Linked DNA regions of Rhinolophus ferrumequinum. The protein of the gene in region 2 binds, or shares a complex with, the protein of the main gene of each other region. Links are inferred from orthologs where the notes say so. Each region holds a gene or a part of one and is shown on either strand. Other genes may lie near its edges.

Evidence for each region. The genes of interacting proteins can lie anywhere in the genome.
Region 1: the proteins of REV1 (region 2) and POLD3 are in contact, whole or in part, in an NMR structure (PDB 2N1G), measured with the Homo sapiens proteins. The link is inferred for Rhinolophus ferrumequinum from reciprocal best matches to the Homo sapiens genes REV1 and POLD3. Residues at the interface, in NP_057400.1 of Homo sapiens: Asn1158, Leu1159, Ala1160, Gly1161, Leu1171, Leu1172, Glu1174, Trp1175, Ile1179, Met1183, Glu1184, Glu1185, Asp1186, Gln1189, Val1190; in NP_006582.1 of Homo sapiens: Gly232, Asn233, Met234, Met235, Ser236, Asn237, Phe238, Phe239, Gly240, Ala242, Ala243, Met244.
Region 3: the proteins of REV1 (region 2) and POLH are in contact, whole or in part, in an NMR structure (PDB 2LSK), measured with the Homo sapiens proteins. The link is inferred for Rhinolophus ferrumequinum from reciprocal best matches to the Homo sapiens genes REV1 and POLH. Residues at the interface, in NP_057400.1 of Homo sapiens: Asn1158, Leu1159, Ala1160, Gly1161, Leu1171, Leu1172, Trp1175, Ile1179, Asp1181, Pro1182, Met1183, Glu1185, Asp1186, Gln1189, Val1190; in NP_006493.1 of Homo sapiens: Thr528, Glu529, Pro530, Phe531, Phe532, Lys533, Lys535, Ser536, Leu539.

What each region holds. Positions count from the first base shown.
Region 1 is NC_046294.1:49,482,013-49,489,489, forward strand, and holds the start of POLD3 (DNA polymerase delta subunit 3), read left to right. Parts: upstream 1-4,448; 5' UTR 4,449-4,603; coding exon 4,604-4,663; intron 4,664-6,635; coding exon 6,636-6,691; intron 6,692-7,477. UniProt on the Homo sapiens protein: Accessory component of both the DNA polymerase delta complex and the DNA polymerase zeta complex.
Region 2 is NC_046296.1:4,736,259-4,744,047, forward strand, and holds the start of REV1 (DNA repair protein REV1), read left to right. Parts: upstream 1-4,753; 5' UTR 4,754-4,950; intron 4,951-7,789. UniProt on the Homo sapiens protein: Deoxycytidyl transferase involved in DNA repair. Transfers a dCMP residue from dCTP to the 3'-end of a DNA primer in a template-dependent reaction.
Region 3 is NC_046286.1:12,894,403-12,901,913, forward strand, and holds the start of POLH (DNA polymerase eta), read left to right. Parts: upstream 1-4,482; 5' UTR 4,483-4,719; intron 4,720-4,927; 5' UTR 4,928-5,058; intron 5,059-7,511. Other genes in the region: XPO5 (exportin-5), read right to left, coding at 44-181, 1,554-1,626, 2,610-2,731, 4,039-4,143. UniProt on the Homo sapiens protein: DNA polymerase specifically involved in the DNA repair by translesion synthesis (TLS). Due to low processivity on both damaged and normal DNA, cooperates with the heterotetrameric (REV3L, REV7, POLD2 and POLD3) POLZ complex for complete bypass of DNA lesions.

The DNA of each region.
Region 1 (7,477 bases), on a different chromosome or scaffold from region 2:
TATCTTGACTTATATCCTACTCCTGTGGAACAATGACAAGAAACTTGAGTTCCAATCCCAGCACTACCACTTACCCTTGTGACCTGAAAAATCCATGTCTCCTGTCTTAAGATTCAGCAGTCTAGTCTATAAAATATGGACAAACACAAGGCATTTGCAGAGTTGCTATGAGGATTAAATGAAATCTCACTTTCAAAGTACCTGGTACACACAGAAATACAAAGGATCATACAAGAATATTGTGAAAGACTATATGCCACCAAATTTAATAACCTTGAAGAAATGGAGTTCTTAGAAATATATAACCTTCCTAGACTGAACCACAAAAAACTGGAAAATCTAAATAGACTGATCAACAGTAAGGAAATTGCAATAATCATTAAAAACCACCCAAAAAGTAAAAGTTCAGGATGGCTTCACTAGTGAATTCTACCGAACATACAAAGATGATTTAATACCTGTCCTTCTCAAACTATTCCCAAAAAACTGAAGAAGAGGCAATACTTCCTAACTCGTTTTATGAGGCCAACATTACCCTGATACTAAAACCTGGTAAGGATAACACACACAAAAAAGAACATCACAAACCAATATCTCTAATGAATACAGATTCAAATTCTAAACAAAATATTAGCAAATTGAATACAATGCATTAAAAATGATCATACATCACAATCAGATAGGGTTCATTCCAGGGGCACAATGATGGCTTAACATATGCAAAACGATCAATGTGATACACCACATAAACAAAATAAAGGATACAAGTCATACGATCATATCAATAGATGCAGAAAAAGCATTTGACAAGATACAGCATCCATTTTTAATTAAAACACTTAATAAAATGGGAATAGAAGGAAAGTACCTCAACATAATAAAGGCCATATGTAACAAACCCTCAGCTAGCATCATACTTAATGGTGAAAAACTGAAAGCTTTTCTCTAAGATCAGGAACAAGACAAGAATGCCCTCTTTGACTACTGCTATTCGACATAGTATTGGAAGTCCTAGCCAGAGTAATCAGGCAAGAGAAGGAAATAAAGCATCCAAATTGGAAATGAACAAGTCAAATTGTCACTTTTTGCAAATGACATAATTCTTTATATAGAAAACCCCAATGACTCCACCAAAAAAAAAACCCTCCAAAAACAAACCTATTAGAAACAATAAACAAATACAGTAAAGTTGCAGGATACAAAAATCAATGTATAAAAATCCATTGTGTTCCTATATACTAACAATGGAATTTTAGAAAAAGAAATGAAGGAAACAATTCCTTTCACAATTACAACAAAAAGAATAAAATACTTTTGAATAAACTTAACAAATGATTTAAAGGACACTGAAAACTACCAGACATTATTGAAAGAAGTTTAAGATACAAACAAATGGAAAGATATTCAGTGTTCATGGATTGGAAGAATCAACATAGTTAAAATGGCCATATTATTACCCAAAGCAATATACAGATTTAATGCAATTCCCATCAAAATCCCAATGGCATTTTTTAAAGAAATAGAACAAAAAATTATCAGATTTGTATGCAATCACAAAAGACCCCAAATAACCAAAGCAATCTGGAAAAAAAGGAACAAGTCTGGAGGTATCACATCCCCTGACTTCAAATTATACTAGAAAGCGACAATAATTAAAACAGCATGGTATTGGCAAAAAAACAGACACACAGATCGATTGAACTGAATTGAGAACCCAGAAATAAACCCACATATGTATGGGCAGATAATTTTCAACAAAGAAGGCAAAAACGTACAATAGAGAAACAAAAACCTCTTCAATAAATGGTGCTGGGAAAATTAGAAAGCAACAGAATGAAACTAGACTGCTATTTGTCACTAACACAAAAATTAACTCAAAATGGATCAAAGAGGTAAATATAAGACCTGAAATAATAAAATTCATAGAAGAAAACATAGGTACTAAACTTATGGAACTCGGTCTTAGAGAGGATTTTATGAATTTGACCTCAAAGGCAAGGGAAGATAAAGCAAAAATAAATGAATGGGATTGTTTCAAATTGAAAAGCTTCTGCATAGCAAAAGAAACATCAACAAAACAAAGAGGCAACCAGCCAAATAGGAGAAGATATTTGCAAACAACACCTGTGATAAGGGGTTAATATCTAAAATATATAAAGAGCTCATACAACTCAACAACAAAAAAAAATCTGATTAAAAAATGGGCAGAGGACCTGAATAGACACTTCTCCCAAAGACATACGAACTGCCAACAGATATGTGTATATGAGAATATGCTCAACTTCACTAGCTATTAGGGAAATACAAATCAAAGTCACAATAAGATACTGCCTCACATCTGTTAGAATGGCTATTATCAAGAAGATAACAATGGCTATTATCAACAAGTGTGGGAGAGGTTATGGGGAAAAAGGAACCCTCATACACTGCTGGTGAGAATGTAAATTGGTACAGCCACTATGGAAAATATTATGGAGGTTCCTCAAAAAATTAGGAATAGAATTACCATATGACCTAGCAATCCCTCTTCTGGGTATCTATCCCCCAAAATTGAAAACATTTATCCATAAAGATATATGTACCCTTATGTTCATAGCAGCATATTCATGGTGACCAAGACATGGAAACAATTGAAATGTCCTTCAATGGGTGACTGGATAAAGAAGATCTGGTACATACATACAATGGAATATTACTCAGCTATAAGAAAAGATGAAATACTGTCATTTGCAACAACATGGATGGATCTTGAGATTAAGCAAAATAAGTCAGACAGAAAAAGCCAAGACCCATATGACTTCACTCATTATATGGGATATAAAATTGAAATCACTAAATGAACAAGACAAACAAACAAAAACTCATAAACACAAACAACAGTTTGGTGGTTACCAGAGGGAAAGTGGGGAGAGGGAGGTAGAAAAGGGTAAAGAATATCAAACATCTGGTGACACAAAGAGATTTGATTTTGGGTGGTGAACACACAATGCAATATGCATTTGTACAGATGATGTGTTATAGAATTGTACACTTGAAACCTATGTAATTTTACTAACCGATGTCATCCTAATAAATTAATTTTAAAAGAGTTAGGAAAAAGAAAAAAAAAAAGCACCTGGTACAGTATGCCTAATATACCGTAATGTAATAGCCAAATGTTATTGATTTTGTGTGTCAGTAAATATGAGGGTTTTATGTATATTATCTCATTTATAACTCTAGCCAAATAGAATTCTTTAATATTCTCATTTGCTCTTTCAGTCTTTCACATCTCAGTAGACAAAGCATCACCATTTACTTAAAAATTAAGGTTCCAAATCTAGTATTTTTCTTGATTCCTGTCTTTCCTACGCTCTACTCATCTAATTCATCATCCGGTTTTGCTGACTCTAAAAAGAAAACCCAAGTCACTCAGTTCTCTCAATTTCTACTACCATTATCCTATGTTCAGCCACTACCATCCCTCACTTAAATATCTTCAGGAGAATGTAAGCTACATGTGAACAGACTCCACGTATTATTAATCACAGCTGTATGCCTAGCACCCCAACACCCAGAACGGTGCCTGGCTCTTAGTAGGCTTTTACCAGCTGTCTTGAATGAATGCATGGTGCCAGAAAACTTTGAAGTGGGTAATATTATTATTTCCATCTTATAGATTGCAAAATGGGCGTGCAGTGGTTAAATAACTTACTTAAGATCACACAAATACCCAAACCAGGATTCAAATCCAGGGTCTAACTTAGAGGCTGCAGGTTATCCACTATGCCGCCATATTGAACTACACTGGCGAATGCTTAAGTTAATTATTAAGGGTTTTTTAACTGATGTTAGGAGAAATTTTAGTTGAAATTCCCCAACCTGAAAACTTTTCCTGAGCATAAAGTTCATGTGCCCCTTCGCACAGCCTTGTAGAGGCATCATGATTTGGCTTCTCCCAAGTCTCGTCTCTCGTCATTGGCCTTTCTCCCCAACAGCCCAACTACTATGAACTCTTTTCTCTTCCCAGCAAATACTCCTGCCTCTATTCGAAACACTGCCTCTCTCTTCTGAAAAACCTTTCCTAATTTCTCAATTCTGAGAGATTATAACAAGCAGTACTTTATCCCAGCTGGCATCACTCAACTAAAATTACCGTATTTATTACTTTGTTGTTTATTGCTGTGTCCCCCGTGCCTAACAAGCGCCTGCAACAGAATAGGTACTTGATAAATATTTGTTGAATAAAGGTATGAAAAGGCAAGGATTCTTTCATCAATTTACAGATGGAAAGACTGTGGCTCCTAGAGGTCAGGTATTTTCCCCGCGTCAGTGACTAAGTGGCAGAGGTAACATTTGAATCGGCTCCACAGACAGCCCGCCCCAGACCACGCCCGCCCTCCTAGCTCCTCACTTCCGCCCGCTCCGACTAGCTCCACCTACTTCGCCAAGCGCCATCTCTCAGACTAGTTTGGCCCCCAGGCGGCCGCCGTAGCGCGTCTTTCCGTTGCTCTGGGAGACGACCCCGGCCCAGGGTTGGAGGAAAGACGTTTCCCGCCGGCGGGAGCTGCGGTTGTGGCGGCGCGGGGAGCTCAGAGACTGCGGGGCGCGGCGCTGCAGCACCATGGCGGACCAGCTTTATCTGGAAAATATAGACGAGTTCGTCATGGACCAGAACAAGATCGTGAGGAGCTAGGACTGGGGAACTCGGGCGTGCGACTGGGGAGCTAGGACGGGGGTCCTGGGCCCGGCGAGGGCGGTGGGAGCCTTGACCCCTCTGCGTGTGTTCTCGTGGGGACTGGCGGAGGGAAACAGGTCCCCCCACGCGCCAGGGCAAGCGAAGACTCGACAGAGAGGGCCTCAGGCGCGCGCGCAAGTCCGCGTCCATTGGGTGGGCGTGCTGGGCGCTGCACAGACTAGGGGCCGTGGAGGGAGGAGCATCGATTGATAATATTTCTAAGGCGTCTCTACACCTGTCTGATAAGGTGGTTGGAATTTAAAGCTCCAAGTTTACAGTTGAGGAAGTTGCACGGGTTTTAAGTGACAAGCTGTTTGACCTTCCAGCAGTCGGTTTCCTCTTACTGGAAATCTGGTATTGATACAGGCTTGACCTGTCTCAGGAAGGGTAAAGATCAAGTGGGACAGTGGATGTGAATACACTTTGCCAGTGTGAGGATTGAGTGCCTCCTGTGAGCTTTGGACACACATTATTGCATTTCATCTATGCAGTGACCCAGCCAGAGGTCGGTAGAAGTATTCTTAGAAAGGCAGTTGAAGCAGAGGGGCCAACTAACTTCTTTATTTGTGGCTAGTAAGGGATAGGCAGTTTACCAACTTCGGGCCGTCTCTGTTGCTAATGCTTTCTTATGTTACACATCACACTGTCTTTGCCTAACCTATGTAATACTTCCAGTTACTGGAAACTCAGCATTTTGAATTGGAAGACTTTGGAGAGAGGAGTGACAGTAGAGCTAGGGAAGGATGGAAGCTCTAGGCTTGACCCCCGGAGTTCCCAGTCTAACCTCTGATACAGAATCCATCCACCCCATTCATTTCCTGACCCATGCACCACCTGTTTCTTTAATGTTTGTATGGCTGCAACTATCCTTAGAAGTTTTTCTGACTCATACACTTCAAAGTAATCTAGCTTCTGGGTGAGTTTTAGGATTGTTTTCGGTGGAGGCCCCCAAAACAAAAAGGGCAGAATGTGAAATAAAAAAAGCAAAACATGGAGTGTAAGAAAAATAAGAACTTTTTCTTTGATGTATATACCATGTTTCCCTGAAAATAAGACCTAGCTGGACCACCAGTTCTAATGCATCTTTTGGAGCAAAAATTAATAATATTATATAAGACCGGGTCTTATAATATAATATGCTATAATACTATTTTAATATAAGACCCGGTCTTATAATATAATATAGTATAATATAATGTAATAAATATAATACCGGGTCTTTATATTAATTTTTGTTCCAAAAGATGCATTAGAGCCGATGGTCCGGCTAGGTCTTATTTTCAGGGAAACACGGTGTAAGCCTTCCTCTTTAGACTCTTTGCGTTGATTGGTGTAAAACAAGCTTTTTAGTATTTGTTAAGATAAATATGTCAGTCTTGCCTGCCCAGATGGATGGTTCTTGGTAAAACTGGGATAGTGGGGGACAGAGCCAGGAGTGGTTTCCAGGCTCTCGGCCTCATGTGGAAAGGTGCTCACTCAGGCAGTAAATGGTCATCAACTGTGATTGGATGGCCATCACCTGTGGCTAGTTGGCCGTCAGCTGTAACCAGTGAGCCATTGGCCACTAATATAACTGCTGTGGCTACGCTAGCAGCCAATGGGGGCTAGCAAGAAGATGGAGGCTGAGCTAGCAGGCGCGGATTGCAGTTAGCACGGCGGATGCCGCCAGCGAGACTATAGTGGTATGACTCCCCTATCTATGGCTCTGTGGGTGTTCCTTTTTGGCCTCATGATGTCCTGCGTTCTTATGTGGGGAGCGGGAGCTGAGACCCAGCATGACACCCTGCATGACAAATGGTATTTAGTATTATTTATAAGGCATAATCATCTAAGAGTAGGAATCTTTAGGAGCCTTTAGAATTGACCTGTACTCCGGAGTCATCTAATAAAACATTTAAAAAAGTTCTTTTTCTTGCAGGTGACATACAAATGGCTGAGCTATACACTAGGTGTTCATGTTAACCAGGCCAAACAGTAAGTCCAATTTACTACTAATTTTAATCACAGTGGAGTCTTGCTTTGCTTGTTTTTTGTTTTGTGTTGTTTTGCGTTTTTGGCTTTACAGATAGCCTCTAGGTTAGAACTTTTTTTTTCCCCCTGAGAAAATGGGAAAGAATATTATTTTTACTACATCTTACTACTTTTGTCTGTTATTCAGGAGGTTAGTAGACTTGTGTGCAAATGTGTGCTAATACATTTACTGACTTTATGTGTAGTCTTGCCCACTGGTTGACATCACTTTGTTATTTCATATTTATTAAATGGGCTAGCCAGTTCTGTTTCTATCTCAGATTTATGTCTGGTATCTTACAGCTTCATGACATTGTCACACATGCTCCTTAGGCCCATCTCTGGGTGTTATTGAAATACCTCCATAATGAGGTCAACAGGTGTTTGACACAAGCTGTATGTGTAACAGTAGAAAATGGGGACAACGATTTAAGTGAAACTAAAAAGGGGAGTGGTTAGGATGGTGTAGAGCACTGCCCTTCATGAATTTTGCTATATCACCTTTCCTTGCTGAAGCTTGTAGTCCAATGTGAGGCCAAAAGGGAAATTTTGTAATTCACTTCAAAATTTCTTGACCTGTAAATGTGCAGATGTTGTTTATGCCCCAAAGGAAGGGAGGAGTTGGTGAACAGGCTGACACACATATTGAGTCAAATACTTCATTTAGCTTGTTTTCTGAAGGTGGTCTGATTTTTCCCTATTCCTTGAATCGTAGGAATGTTCCATGAGTCTTAGAAAATCCCTGATCTC
Region 2 (7,789 bases):
CGGCAATTGAATATCTAACTACCTATTCGCCACCTCCACTTTCATATCTAACAGGTAAACATTTCAAACTTAACTTGACTAAAGCAAAATACCTGATTCTTCCCTCTAAAACCTGCTCTTCCTCCAGTCTTCCCCATATGACAGCCATAGGGATTCGTTTAGAAAGTAAATCAGATTATCATCACTCCTTTGCTCAAAACCCCATGACACTCAGGATATAGGTCCAGGGCCCAACATGACTGGCTTTCTGCCATCCCCTTAGCTTCATCTCCAACCAATCCCCTCTTGGTTACTCTTATCTAGCATCACTCTCTTTAAATATTGAGGCATATGCCCAACTTGGGGCCTTTGCCCCCACTATCCTCTGAGCCTGGAATGCCCCTCTCCAAGATACCTGCATGGTTTCTTCTCTCATTGCCTTTGGACTCTGCTCCAAAGACTCCTGACCAGAGAGGGCATTTCTGACCACCCCCTGTAAATATACTCACCCTTCCCCAGCCCATCCTCCTTCCTGTTTTACCTTTCTCCCTAGCACTGACCACTACCTGATGTTTACTGACACAGCTTTTGCTTATTGATCACCTTTACCTTCTAAAAAGTAAGCTCTAGCAGCACAGGGACTTCACTCAGTTTGGTCACTGCCACATGTCTCCAACAGTCAGAACAGACCTAGGAAGAATCTACCAAAAATCAGTTAAGCCCTTTTGATGGCCTCACAGCTGGTGCTTTCAGATGCTGCCCATTCCCTGCCCCCAGAAGAAGAATAAAAGTTTGCTCCTAGAGGGGTAGCCGGTTAGCTCAGTTGGTTAGAGCACGGTGCTATTAAACAACAAGGTTGCCGGTTCGATCACCACACAGGCCAGGGTGAGCCGCGCCCTCCCCAACTAGATTGAAATAGTTACTTGACTTGGAGCCGATGGGTCCTGGAAAAACACACTTAAAATAAAGTTTTAAAAAGTTTAACAACAACAAAAAAGTTTGCTCCTGAAGAGACTGATCTACAGAAAGTCAGGATTGAAGAATACAAGGCAAATTGAAGGTGGGAACGCCTGGATGAAAACGGGATTGAATGAAAGTGTACATGGCAGAGGTTGAGATGCCCAGGGTCCTGCCTAACGCCGTCCTGCTCCACTTGCACCATAGAGCCAGCAGCCAACTTTAGTCTCCCTCAGCAGGACTGGAGGGTCCCCAGCCAAGAAGCCAGCTGACACTCTGATTGTCTGCTAATGAAGCCCATCACTCAAAAGGCCTTTCCATGCCACACAGCACTTTTTAGGGCCTCATGCTTAAATATGAACAGATAGCCATTGTTGTCAATATTTGAGGAAGGTGTCTGTTATGGAGTAAATCATATCCCACTCTCCAAATTCATGTGTTGAAGCCTTAACCCCCAATAGTACTATAGTTGGAGATAGAGCCTTTAAGGAGGTAACTAAGGTTAAATGAAGTCATAGGGGTGGGACCCTAATCCAACAGAACTGCTGTCCTTATAAAAAGAGGAAGAGACACCATGAATGTACATGCACAGAAAAAGGCCGTGTGAGGACATAGCCAGAAGGCGGTTGTTTGCAAACCTAGCAGAGAGGCCTCACCAGAACCAACCCTGTTGGCACTTGATCTTGGACTTCCAGACTCCAGACTGTGAGAAAATAAATTTCTGTTTTTTAAGTCACTCATCTGTGGTATTTTGTTATGGCAGTCTAATACAATGTCTAATGTGAAAGAGAAGAACCAAACCAAAACAAATAGAAGAGAAGAAATAGCGACATAAGGAACAGAAGAAAACTTTTGAAGTAATTTATATCATTCTTATCCATAGAGGGATAAGAGGAGACCTCAGCAATACAAACAGAATGGTAATTTTAAACAATTAAGGAACTTTCACAGTGCAAAAAGGAGCTCTTTGAAATGTAACATATGATAGGAAGGTTTAAAGTTAATTGAAGATTTAGAAGACAAAATTGAGGAAATCTCACTGAAGGCAGAACAAATAGAAAATAGGAAAGAAAATTTTTTCCAGCTGTATTAAAGTATAATTGACAAATAAAATTATATGTATTTGAAGTGTACAATGTGATGATTTGATATATGTACGCTTTCTGAAATGATTACCACAATCAAGTTAATTAATGTATCTGTCACCTCACATTTTCCATTGTGTGTGTGTGCGCACACCCTGAGAATGATCAAAGTCTGATCTCTTATGTCTGCAATCATATATTATAGGGATATTGGCCTGTAATTTTCTTTTCTTCTAGTGCCCTTGTCTGACTTCATAAACGAATTTGGAAGTGTTCTCTTCTGGCCAATTCTGGTTCCAAATTCCTTTCTAGTTTCTGTAGGCTTGTGCTCATCCTGCCTTGTTATTATATCATATTTCAGCATAATGGGCTGAATGACTTATAACAATCACCACTATCGCTCTTTCCTACAAGTAATCACATGAGTTACTGTGGTACATCACCCAAGGGACCTGCGTACAAACCTCTGTTCTTTAATGGTTTCATGTTTTTATTTTCTGTTTTTGGTATTTGAGAGACTAGATATGGAGGTTTCCAAGAAAAGTTTACTGCCAATTAAAGGATAGCAGAACCATGTCCGTACCCAGGGCTGTCCTGACAAGGGTCACTTGTCTGCACTTTCATAGGTCCCTTGAGATGTCAGTAATAATAGAAATTTCAAAATGAATTTTAATGAAGTTCAGAAAAGAAGAATAAGGTGGAGTGCCCCAAAGCACTTCCTGAAAAGTGGGAGTCCAGGATGGACATCTCAGTTGCCTTACCTGAAAGGTCAGGTCAGCCCCCCTTAGAATGGGAAAGATAGTCCTCACGAGATAAATGGAAGTAGATGAATGATGAATGAATGAATGAATGCAGGTGATTGGGTAAAATTGAAATAAAGCCTCTTCAGACATTGTGTACTATATATGGGATAGCATAACATAATATTCTAGAATGGACAAAAATAAAACTTGGGCTAAATTGTACCAAGATTCTAGAGTTGGTATACATTTTATTTATGTACTCTTCATTACTCTTTTATCCTATTTATCTAGAAAGCAGTGTGAATTGGAGGCTGCCTACTAGTTTGCACTAAAGTGCAGTTAATACCATCTTACTATAGTCCTATAAGGTGCTGCCAAGGTCAGTTAACTTAATGCTGTGTTTCTTTCTTGAGAAAAATACATTTAAAAAATACTGCTGACTGGAATAGGAGAGAATGGGAAAGGAAATTGAAATACAATGGTACACTTCCCATAGAGTTCACAGGTTACTTTCAATGTGAAAAGCGAGTTTTGTCATTTCTTGTTAATAGAAACACTGACATTTAGAGATATACATTAAAAAACTTAATTATTATAATAAGGGGTTACCCCTGTTTTTCTAGGGCATTTCAGTAGATACCCAGATGGTGCAGTGGACAGCTGTTTGTGAGCCTGTTGAAATTACGCCAATTTGTATTACATTATGACGTCTTAGAAAAGCATGCAACTTGAATTTGCTGGGATAGAGACAAGAGTACTGAAGTTGACGCGCATTTATAAAAAGTCTATCAAATGGCAAAACAAAAGGACTTGGAAAAAGAAAACAACCCATGTGAATATTTTCCCAGCTCCGCAAAATCAGCTTTCAAAAAAGAGTACTGGTTTGTTTCATAAGTACTTGTAAACTCTTCGGGTGCCTTAGGTAAGGGAATAAGGGGGAAAAGTGTCGTCATGCACCGAGGATCGCTTCACGTTTGTGCATTACAACAATAAAGACTATTATGATGGCAATGTGGGATCTCCTGGCAAATCGACATTGCCGAGAGGGGGGAAATGGTCCTTATGGGACAACTGTCTTGCTAGAAGGCCCTCAATTACAATTGTATTTAAGCTTACATCATGTACAACATATATTTTTTAATATTAGCAGAAAATTGCTTTCGCGTGTAACCCCAGTGCTGCATGTGAGGTGGGATACCCGCCGTAGTTTGCAGATATCCAGGTGGACGGGGAAAGGAGTTTGTTGTGCCCCTGCGGGAATTGACAACGAATCGCTTACACCCCTTGGCGCAGTGCTCATTCCCACCAACCCATGTGGGCGGTGACTCTCGGTTTCTCCGACATTGTGAAGTGTCAGGTCATGTGTCCTTTCTCCACTAGATGTCACTGTAAATCAATCGCTCGTGGAGGGGGAATCCATGGTTTGAAGTATGCTCAGAGAGCACCAGGGTTTTTAAGCATGGTCAGTCCCTGCGCTTGTCCTCTCCGACTGGGGAGCGCGGGCAGGGGCGGCGGGGACTCGCTGAAGGAAAGCAGTGCCCAGTCGCAGGCTGCGACTCGAGCGCGAAGTGCGGAGGTCGCAGGTGCGGACGGCTGTGCGATGCGGAAGGCGGGACCGCGCCGCTTTCCCACTCCGCCGCCAACGAGACGGTCACGTGCCGCGGCGGCGCTGCCTCCGCGGACAACTGCGTGAGAGGAGGGCGGGGCCCAGGGAGGGGCGGGGCGGCCTTTGCCGAACTCTGCGGCGCCGCGCCCGACGTTCGGGGTCGCCTCGGGCAGGGCGCGAGCGAGCGTGTTGCGCCGCGCGGGGGTGAGTGCGGGGCGGGGGTGGGGCCAGCCGCTCCGGCGCCGCGCGCTCAGAGCAGGACACGGCCCGCGGTGGGGAGGTGTGAGGGCGGAGCCAGGGAGCGCGCAGACCGCTGAGGGGAGGTGGGCGGGGCGGAGCTGCGACGCGCGCGCCCGCCGGAGGGGGAGGGGCGGGGACCGCCGCGGAGCGCGCAAGGCCGGCCTCTGCGAGCGTGGGGCGAGCGTGGACCGCGGCGCGGCGGTGTGACTCCTTCCCCAGCCCTCCTCCCGGCCCAGGCGACGACAGTGTGCGGCGGCAGCGGCGGCGGCGGCGGCGCCCGGGTCCGCGAAGCCGGACGAGGCGGCTGTGCCGGGCATGGTGGTCTGGGGCAAAGCAGAAGGTGAGCGACCCCCGGCCGGCGGCGGGGTGGGGGAGGGGCGGAACCGGACACGCGCATCCCAGAGGCGCCGCAGACCCGCCCGGCGGCGGCGGCGGAGCACGAACTGCTGAGGCGGGGCGGAGGGGGCGCGCCGGCCGGACACCGCGGCGGTTCCCTGGAGGCCTGACGGCCCGCCGCGTCCCGAGAGCGGCGGTCGCCGGGTTATGTAACGGTGACCTCCCTTCCCCCTCCGCCATGGCGCGACCTGCCGGGCCCCTCACAGGGCCACCCGCAGAGGCGCCGCGCGACTACTGGTGCCCGCGGCCCTGCCCTCCGCGGCCCGCCGCGGACGCCTCCCGGCCCCGCTCCGACTGCGCCGCAAACTCCCTTTCCTGCGCCGGCGCCTCGCCGGCCATTCAGCGCCGCGCCATTCATTGGTGCGCGCGTTCGGTCGCTGGTTCTTGGAGCAGCGCAGGGTGTCGGCGGGGGCCGAGCGCGGTGTTCTCTGCCATCTCCCGCCACCAGCTCTCCTCTCCGTTATCTCTCTGTCAAACACCCCCGCCTCCCATTGGATCCCGGAATCGGGGTCGGAATACCCGAAGGCACCTTTTATTCACTTGTTTTTCCTTGTTACTTATCTGTTGCCTTCATGTGAAGGGCACCTTTCCCCACCTGTCCGTACGAGAGTCCCTTTCATACTTGCACTCACTGTTGAAACAAGTCAACCCAAGTATAGACGGAAAGGGACGTTTCCTTATGTAGTTCGCTGCTCTTACTACCTAAACCCAGCTGGTAAAGAAGTACCTTAATAGATCACTCCTTAATTGATTCCCCTTTATTTTAAAAAAGAATTGGAGATGGTATAAGTCTACTCTTTCTTCCACGTCTGCTCAAGTCACGTACAGAGTAGAAATGGCATCATTTAGGTAACAATATGGACCGGCACATACCATGAAAGGACTTGCAACTATTAAGGGCTTTATGGAACTGTTCTTAATTCTGCGTATGAGCCTGGTCTCTCTGATCTCTCCACTTCAGCCTTGGAGAAATAGCCATTTCCTCTGTAGGTAGGGTAGGACATAGCATAACCTTGGTTCTTCCTATGGCATGCACAGTAACCCATCTTATGGGTAGTACTGTTAATTCCCTCTTTTCCAAACTTCCCGTCTCTGCTTTCCGGTAGTCTTTTCTTAGCCGGTGCAAATGCTGCTAGCGTGTTCTCTCCCTATACTTCCTATGCTGGACGACGCAAGCTCACCCAAAGTTCCTGTTCCAGGAATCCTTTTCCGTCTATGAGGATATCTTCCATTCAGTACTTAGGCTATTTATTTGCCACTTTTGGTTATCTTTTCATCCACATACTGTTTTTCTGAGACTGTCTTATAGGTCTTGAGGGCAGAGTCTGAACTGAACTTGTCTTTCGTGGTAGAACTTTTCACCTGTCTTATGGTAAACAATATATATTTAAGATTTTTTCGTAAACAATACGTATTTAACATTTAACTTGGAAATCACTATTTTAGGATAAATTTCGAGTAGAAAATAATTTTTTAAAAATAATGTGCTTGAATATGGAAGATCATTTCTTCTCACCTCTAACTTCAAAACTCAAATTCTATGTAAGAGAAAGAAACCCTGTCCTCACCAGGAACCACCTAGTCGTGAATAAATTAGGAATGCTTCATATAATACACATTTGATAGTCCTTTCTTTGATGGCTGCTATAGTAGAAAGACAAGAACTTCAGAGTTAGACGTGGATTTAAATTCTGCTCTGTCCATTATTAGCTGTGTGACCTTGGACAACTCAAAATTTTAAGATCTGATATTTTTCCTCGTAGAAAAGGTCTCATTCCCACCTTGGGTAGCTGAAGATTAAACGTAAGGCATCTAGTGAGTCCCTGGTACATGATGATGCTTAGTACATACATATTCCCTTTGGAATGCCTCTTTATTGAAATTTACACTCTAGAGTGAACCAGGATGTGCTGGAGACAAAGCAAGAGAAGAAAGCTAATCAAAAGAGGTGATACATACCTCTTCTTGTCTCCAAATAAATAAACAAGCCCTAAACTAAATAGCGGTAAAGGTCTTTCAACTTCTCAAGAATGTATGTGGGCCGGCCCGGTGGCTCAGGCGGTTGGAGCTCCGTGCTCCTAACTCCGAAGGCAGCCGGTTTGATTCCCACATAGGCCAGTGGGCTCTCAACCACAAGGTTGCCAGTTCGATTCCTTGACTCCCGCAAGGGATGGTGGGCTGCACCCCCTGCAACTAGCAACGGCAACTGGACCTGGAGCTGAGCTGCGCCCTCCACAACTAAGACTGAAAGGACAACAACTTGAATCTGAATGGCACCCTCCACAACTAAGATTGAAGTAACAACAACTTGATTTGGAAAAAAGTCCTGGAAGTACACACTATTCCCCAATAAAGTCCTAAAAAAAAAAAAAGTATGAGTGTGTGGTGTATTATATATCATAGACTATATTAAACAGGACATTTATAAATGAAGGAAATACCTTTTAATCTTCTTTTCCTCCTGGAATAGCACCAACTGAAGCATTAACATGGATATTAAAAAAGAAGAATCTGATTTTCAAGTCAGCAATGGGGGATGAAGGGAGGAGGAATATAAAAAAAGTCTTTTTTTAGAGATAGTTAGGTTTCGTGTTCTTTTAGTATCTCATCTACGTATAATCTGTACGTGAATCCTAGTCTAAGGTCCAGTGTCTCTTCCTTACACTGTTGCAACAGTGCCCTCCCTGCTATCCCTGTTTTTGCACCCTCTCTCACTAATCCCCCGCATAATAATCGGAGTGATCTTTTAAAAGTTATAAATCCATTTTCTTGCTCAAAATCCT
Region 3 (7,511 bases), on a different chromosome or scaffold from region 2:
TCCCCCAAAACGTAAACTGACCCGGTACAGCTGTATTTCATACCCCTTGTTTGGAAAGAACGTCCAATTCCATGAGCATGTCAGGCCAGTGCTGCGGCCACTCCCGCTTGATCATTTCTACTACAATTCGAGATAGAACATCTTTAATATGGTTCTCCTCTTCCAGAATGTTCAGTGTTCCCTGAAAAAGAATGAGAGATAGTAAGAAGTCTACAAGACTGACTGCAAGGAAAAAAGATAGTAAGAAGTCTACAAGACTGACTGCAAGGAAAAATCGGGGCTACAAAAGTGTAAAAACTCATCAGCAGGCCTGCTTTTAAAGTAAACAGAATAAACAAACTGGTTCTCCACGTCTGACTCACTTGTCCTGCATTCTCACTAATCATTCTTCCCACTTAAAGGGAGGGTTGTGCCAGCTAATAAAATGGCTGTTACACAGAGCAAGGAAGACATCATTGTTCTCCTTTGGAAACTGAGCAGACTCTCATATCGACTGTTTCATTAAGGAGGCCAGCGTGGAAGAATACAGAAATAAGAAGTACACTGAGGGGCTGATAAAATGGGAGAGTCAGGAGGAGCACTGGACTATTTTACCAATAGTTCTAGTACCATGTTTCCCCGAAAATAAGACCTACCCAGACAACCAGCTCTAATTTGTCTTTTGGAGCAAAAATTAATATAACACCTGGTCTTATTTTACTATAATATAAGACCAGGTATGATATGATAGGATCTGATATGACATATGATATGATATGATATAATACCAGGTCTTATTTAATATAAGACCAAGTCTTATATTAATTTTTGCTCCAAAAGACATGTTAGAGCTCATTGTCTGGCTAGGTCTTACTTGCAGGGAAACACGGTATTAGAAAACACAGAAAGACTATTACTGGGACTCTCCTTAGTTTGATATCAAGAGTAATGAATTATGACTTCTATCAAGTTTCCGTAGAACTAGCAAAATACAAATCCTAGCTAGCTAAGTTAATTAATAATTTTGAAGGAAAAATTTTTTTCTATTAAAGGCACCAGACTTTGGAAACAAAAAGCGGTAGCAATTCCACTTTTCATGCCCATTGTAAAAAAGACAAAAAAAAGGTTGTGGATTTTAAACATATTTAAAGTCATATTCTAACTCCTGAAACAAATGCATTCTGCATTATTTTTTATTGTTCATCATACAGTGCATTTGGAATAAGTAAGTTTGGAATAAAAGGAAACAAGCAGCAAAGTGCAATCTAATTTAGATCTAAGAGTCTTACTCATTTGCCGAAAATGTCTTACCTCCTCTGCCCCGTCTCTACATAATTTTCAAAACAGAAGTCAACAATAAGGGATTAATTAAACCAAGTAAGAGAAATGTGATAACTATGATTTCTTGTGATGGTCGTTCTTTTTACCTTGAAGGAAACATTTACTATCATACAAAGTATGCTGTTTCATGTATGTAGAACCAGTGAAGTTTTTACACAAATGCTACATTAAAGAAGTCATACTTTGTCTAAACTACTTTGGAAACACAAGTCTTCCAACCAATCATTCCTTACATTTTCAATCAGTTCCATGACACTGTTCTTCAGATAGACCTTCTCCAATCGAGACATGCTGTTCCACCGAAACCTGGCCACCAAAAGCACAGTCGACAGAACCACATTAGAAGTCTTCTCTTCATAAGAGACTAGATTAGATTCCTGTTGTTAGATTATGTTGGTGATTTTATTAAGAAATTATACTTTGATTTTATACCCTTCCAAGAACAGATAAAAACAGTCCATGTTTAACCAAAATGCTAACAGAAGAATTCTTGGGAAAGAGTTTTATATAGGCAGTGGTCCATTCATTGAAATCCACACAGGATTTGTGCACAGATCAGCTTCCCTCTTGATTTCCCTGACAGACCAAAAGCAGATACACATCTGGGATGACTGCAACACTGTAGTTGCTTTTCAGATACTATGAATGCCCTTTCTGTGATGGTTTACAAGGTAACAGCACAATTCCAGAAAAACTGGCTAAATCTTAAAAACTGATTCTTCTGATAGGCAGCGTGTGTAGCAGACTCAATTTAGGAAGAGTTTTCAGCTATTCTCATATAATCCTGCTTTGGATACACTCAAATTAAAAAAAAAAAAAATTAAAGGCACAGTGCCTAATCAGAGATTTGTTTACCTACACATTGCATTATTCTAAAGACTTTTTTAACAGTGGTGAAAGTGCAGTTTATTAGAAGCGAAAATACACTCCAAAGAGATAGGAGCGGGCCTGAGCAACAGTGTGGCTCAAAAGGTCTATTCTAAAGACTTTGAGGTCTGCTGACATACAACAGGAGCTCAATAATTGCTGGCTGAATGACTACGTGCTAGTATTTGCAGAATGCTTAGTATGTACCACATACTTTTTATATGGATAAAGACACTGAAGAAGAGAAAGGTTAAGTCCTGAATGAGAACTCCCATAAGGCTGTGATGACCTCTTGGGAATCAATCCTTTCTTCTTGGGGATTGCTCTTTTCTACTCACCTAGAGAGTATCTCTATGAGTTACATAAGAAATAGAGATTTGCTCTCTCACAGACTTCACTGGTAACATCCAAAAGCTCCTTACTTGACAACGTGTTCCAGGATCTGAAGGCCAAAATGTCTGACGATGGCAATTTGTGTTTTCTCAGCCAACCTCAAGCCACAGGGGACACAGATAGGGCATTTTTCTTTAAACTCCTCACAAAACTGAAAGAATAAAAGTTAGCATTTCCCTTAGGAGCCAAGAGAGACGGGACTAAAAAAAACTTCTTCTTAACAAACTCCAACCTGAGCTACATTTTTAAGTACAAAATCTAGATCAATATTATATGAGTAAAAAACAAACACTCCTTTCATGTTCACAGTTCCAGATTTCCCATGTAATGTCCAACCAATGTTGAAAAAAAAATCTGACCTAAAAGAGTAAAAAATTATGTTAGAGATACACTCCTGAAGTATATAGGGGTGAAACAACAATTTCTAGGATTTGCTTTAAAAACTTTTGGTGGGGGGAGCGATAAAGTAAATACGGTAAAATCTGTAACAGCTGAGTTTAGGCAATGGGTATACACCTAAGACCACTGAAGTATTCTCACTACTTTTGTATCTTTTTAATATTTCATAGTAAAAAGCAAATATAACCCAACTATTTGATTCCAAATCCTGTGGCACACATGAATGTATGTAAAGTTTCCTCCAAGTGGTGCTCACTGTACATCACTTAAAATATGCACAGCACAAGTCGTTTTTCCTAATGGCCATTTCATTTCTCACAGCCCACATAAACTGATGCCGGGATATTGTGGCTTATATTGTAGCGACACAACAGTCAGTCTTGGGAGCAGAGCATCGGGACTCAAGACAACTACTTTCAGGAAATCAAAGTGCCCTTGTTAAAATGCAAAGTAAGTGGTGGAAGTTCACCTCTGCGCAAAACTGCCTAAGAATATCAGACACTAAAAAACCTAAGATGAGGGTGTGTGAGAATTAGCCCTGAAACACCCAAGACACACACAAGGTTAGGGAGAGGCTGTATGAATGTAAGTAAAAGGGGGCTGGAGCTCGTTTAGGGAAAGTCAGGAGAGGGGCTTAGCGGGGAAACGTTTAGGGCAGGGAAGACCATAAAGAACGTAGCTGCTGCTGGGTACGGGATGGACACGTGCGCCACGGGAAGGCGAGGGGATGTGGGGCTTGGGGGAATAAAAGACTTGCAGCCAGCTGTGGAGGGGGGTCGTGGTGCGGTCAACAGCGAACAGAAGTGGGGAAAGGGGGAGGAGAGGGCAGTGGGAAGTGGTGGTGAGATGAGACCGCCAAAAGCACCTAGGGACCGGAGCGTCCCGGGAAAGGGGTAGGCGCGGCGAGCAGAGGCGGCCGGGAGTGGAAAGTGGCGCGGAGAGCGGCAAGGAAGGCCCCTCGGGGTTGGGGAGGGAGGTCTAAGGGCCGCGTGGGCGGCGCCGGGACAGCAGGGCTGGGGAAGACTCTCCCGGCAGGCCCAGGCGCCAGACCCCAGCTACCTTGAGGGCTTCCAGCCGATAGCGCTGGGTGGAGCTGGGGTCCATCATGACGGTCACCGCTTTCACCAGCTGCTCGCACAGCGCGTTCACTTGATCCATCGCCATGGCTACTGCCACGCGCCGCGAGAGCGCACCACGGCAGTCCTGGGAGCACAAGGCACGGACCGCTCCCTTGCGGGGATAACACGCTGGTACCGGGCCGCGGCGGGCTGGGGGGAGTGGGGAGCGGTAGGAGGAGCGTGAGCCGCAGGAGCCCCAGCCGGGAACGAACCGGCGCTACGCACGCGCTCGATCTTCCAATGCGCACGCGCCGGCGGAAGTGGCTGCTTTCTGGTGACGGTTGCTCCTCGGTGGGCGGAGCGGGAGAAGGAAGGGCCTCGGTGCGCAGGCGCGTCAACGCCCTTCGCGGCGAGCGCGCTGCCTGAGATCTGTCAGTTGCTGAGCGCGCTGGCTTGAGGTGAAGCCACCCGGGTGTGCCGGCGGCTGCCCGGGCAAGGATCCTCTGCGAACCTTGGTCCGTTTCTTCATCTTTGCGGGGAATAAATCTCTCTCGATACCGCCTGGCTTGCTCCCGGAAAGGGAACAGATATTCAAGACCTCTTCATCGTCCTTCCAGTGGACGCCAAGCTCAGAATTGGCGGCATCCGCGGTTGGCAGTTTTGCCAGGTGTTTGCCACATTGGTAAGAGAATTTCAAAACTTTCATCATCACTGTTTTCAAACTTTTCGTGTTGCCTTGGCTATTGGTTTTATGATATAGCAGTTGGATGGTGACATTGGGCCGAAATTGCATGCAATAGAAATACATGCTCACAGAGAGATGAGGCCCGGGTATTGTCATCCAAGAGGATTTTTCTTGTGGAAAAAAAAAATTGTGTTTTTCTCTATAGCTCGTAAACCTCCCTCTTCACTTGTACTTATTTTCCTGGGATGTGTTAGTCACCTGATCAGCACCAAACTTGTTTTGTGCAGATCGGGATAAATCGAGATGGTTACAGATGAATAATTGCAAGTATTGAAGGTTTGTGCGGCTTGAATCATTTGAAATGCTATATATAAGACTTCAGAGTCTTATATATAGTGTAACCATATATAGTGTAACTTATATATAGTGTAACCATTATTCTGAAAGGAGCGTTTTGGCGGAGAGTGTTTCTTTCTCCATCTTTAAAAAGCTCTTGCTTTCTCCAGCAAAACACATGAACTGGAAACTTCAACAGCTTCATGAGCTGTTAAAGCCTGCATATCAGTTTTTGTGTTTGTATTCTCGGTGATTAATATGTTTGCTGGACTTACATCACTGCCTCCTATTCGTATTTCACGTCAGGTATTTATATGTAACATGGCGTGTACCTGGTGGTTTTCTGTGAAAATGCATTTACTATTTTTATTCTGGCATCATCCGTTCCAGTACTATGCAAAAGGCACTTCAAGGTAAAGTGATTTCTGACATGTTACGGTTTTTAACTTATACATGTTTAAAGTATCACATTCTGCCTGTTTTAGGTAAGTAGAATTATAAGGAATTAATGCCTTGACACTCTGATTTTTAAATTCATTTTTTTTTTTAATAATTACAATTAAGTTTTGTTTTTGGTTTTGGTTTTGGTTTTGGTTTTTTGGGGGGAAATGTTGGGGAACAGTGTGTTCCTCCAGGGCCCATCAGCTCCAAGTCGTTGTCCTTCAATCTAATTGTGGAGGGTGCAGCTCAGCTCCTAGTCCAGTCACCGGTTTCAATCTTAGTTGCAGGGGGCACAGCCCATCATCCCATGGAGGGTATTGAACTGGCAACCTTGTTGTTGAGAGCTTGCGCTCTAACCAACTGAGCCATCCGGCCGCCCCTAAATTCATTGTTTTCTTTCCACTAATCTTCCAGTTTGTAGTTGCATGCCACTTTTTTCAAGGTGAATGTTAATTTTTGACACTTTTTTTTTTAAAAGAATACAGTTGAGTGCTTACTCAACTGTATAACCTGTGTTTCTCATATTTAAATCGTGAATTACTGGTGTTTTCATAAGTTATCTTATTTACTTTAGGTCAGTGGTTCTCTGTCTCATTATTGTGAGCTGCACATTATGAATTGCCTGGAGAGCTTATAAAAATCACAATGCCCAAGTCACATACATACCAATTAAATTAGGATATCTGGTGGTAGAAGCTGATATCAATACTATTTAAATATCCTAGGTGATTCCAATCTGCAGCAAAACTTGGGCGCCACCGTGTGAATTTAACATTTCTTCTCCAGATTTATAATAATGTCCAATGATAATATTAGTCTTTATCCACTATCGAGTATATAAGGTTTGTCCTTCCAATCGACCATCCATACCTTTATGGATGTCTATCCTCGAGTAGTATGCAGTATTGTTCTCTTTTGTTTTAAGAAATGTATATGAATGGGTAGAAAATCACCAATAGAACACTGCAAAGTAATTGTGACCGGCAAGATTCACTGATGGTGCTTTGTGGTATGAGGACAAACAGGATATTTGCATATTCTCAAAGTATCTCCCCTAAAATATTCCTTACAAAGGGAAAAATAGTAACTTTATAGTGGGAAACTTGGCAAACACTATCTCAACTAAATGATCATGGTTAATATCACCAGTAATGAGACATATTGACATCACGTACCACCCAGTTTGATACACTGAGAAGAGCACGTCAGTTCCATAATATTCTTGCCAAAAATGCATAACCGCAATGTAATCAAGAGAAGACATCAGACAAACCTAAATTGAGAGATATTCTCAAGGTAACTGACTAGTTCTCTTCACAAGTGTCAAAGTCATGAAAAACAAGAGAAGACTGAGGAAGTGTCACAGAATGGAGACGACTAAGGAGACATGATGACTAAGATTGGATCCTGGAGCAGAAAAAGGATATTAGTGGAATAATTGGTGAAATTCAAGTAAAGTATGTAGTTGAATATTATACCAGTGTTCATTTTTTAGTTTTGATCATTGTGCTATGTAGAATGTTAACATTAGTGGAAACTGGGGGTAAGAGAACCCTACTATGTTTGCAAGTCTAAAATTATTTCAAAATAAAAAATTTAAAAAATTCATATGAATGTTATACTGTTATATATCATTTTCTGCTTCCCTTTTCCCTGAACTTGAGACTTGTCTATGAAGTGGATTAACTGTTGGCTTAATTTCTCTGTTGATGTACATTGTGGTTTTAATTTGCATTTCCCTGTGACTAAATGTTAAGCTCATTTTCATGTGCCTGTTGACTATTTGTGTATCTTCTTTTGTGAAGTGTTCAGTCCTTTGTGGGGATGGATATTTTTAAAGCTTTTAATACTTATTACCTTCCCCAAAGTGAGCCAATTTGTTATTCTCCTTCTAGCAGTAGATGAAAATGCCTATTTCATTCTTGTTAGTTTCCAGGCTCTCATGTTCATGGTAACTCAGCAATGGAAGAATGGAAATACAATTTTTCTTGGCACTTTGGATTAGGTATCCT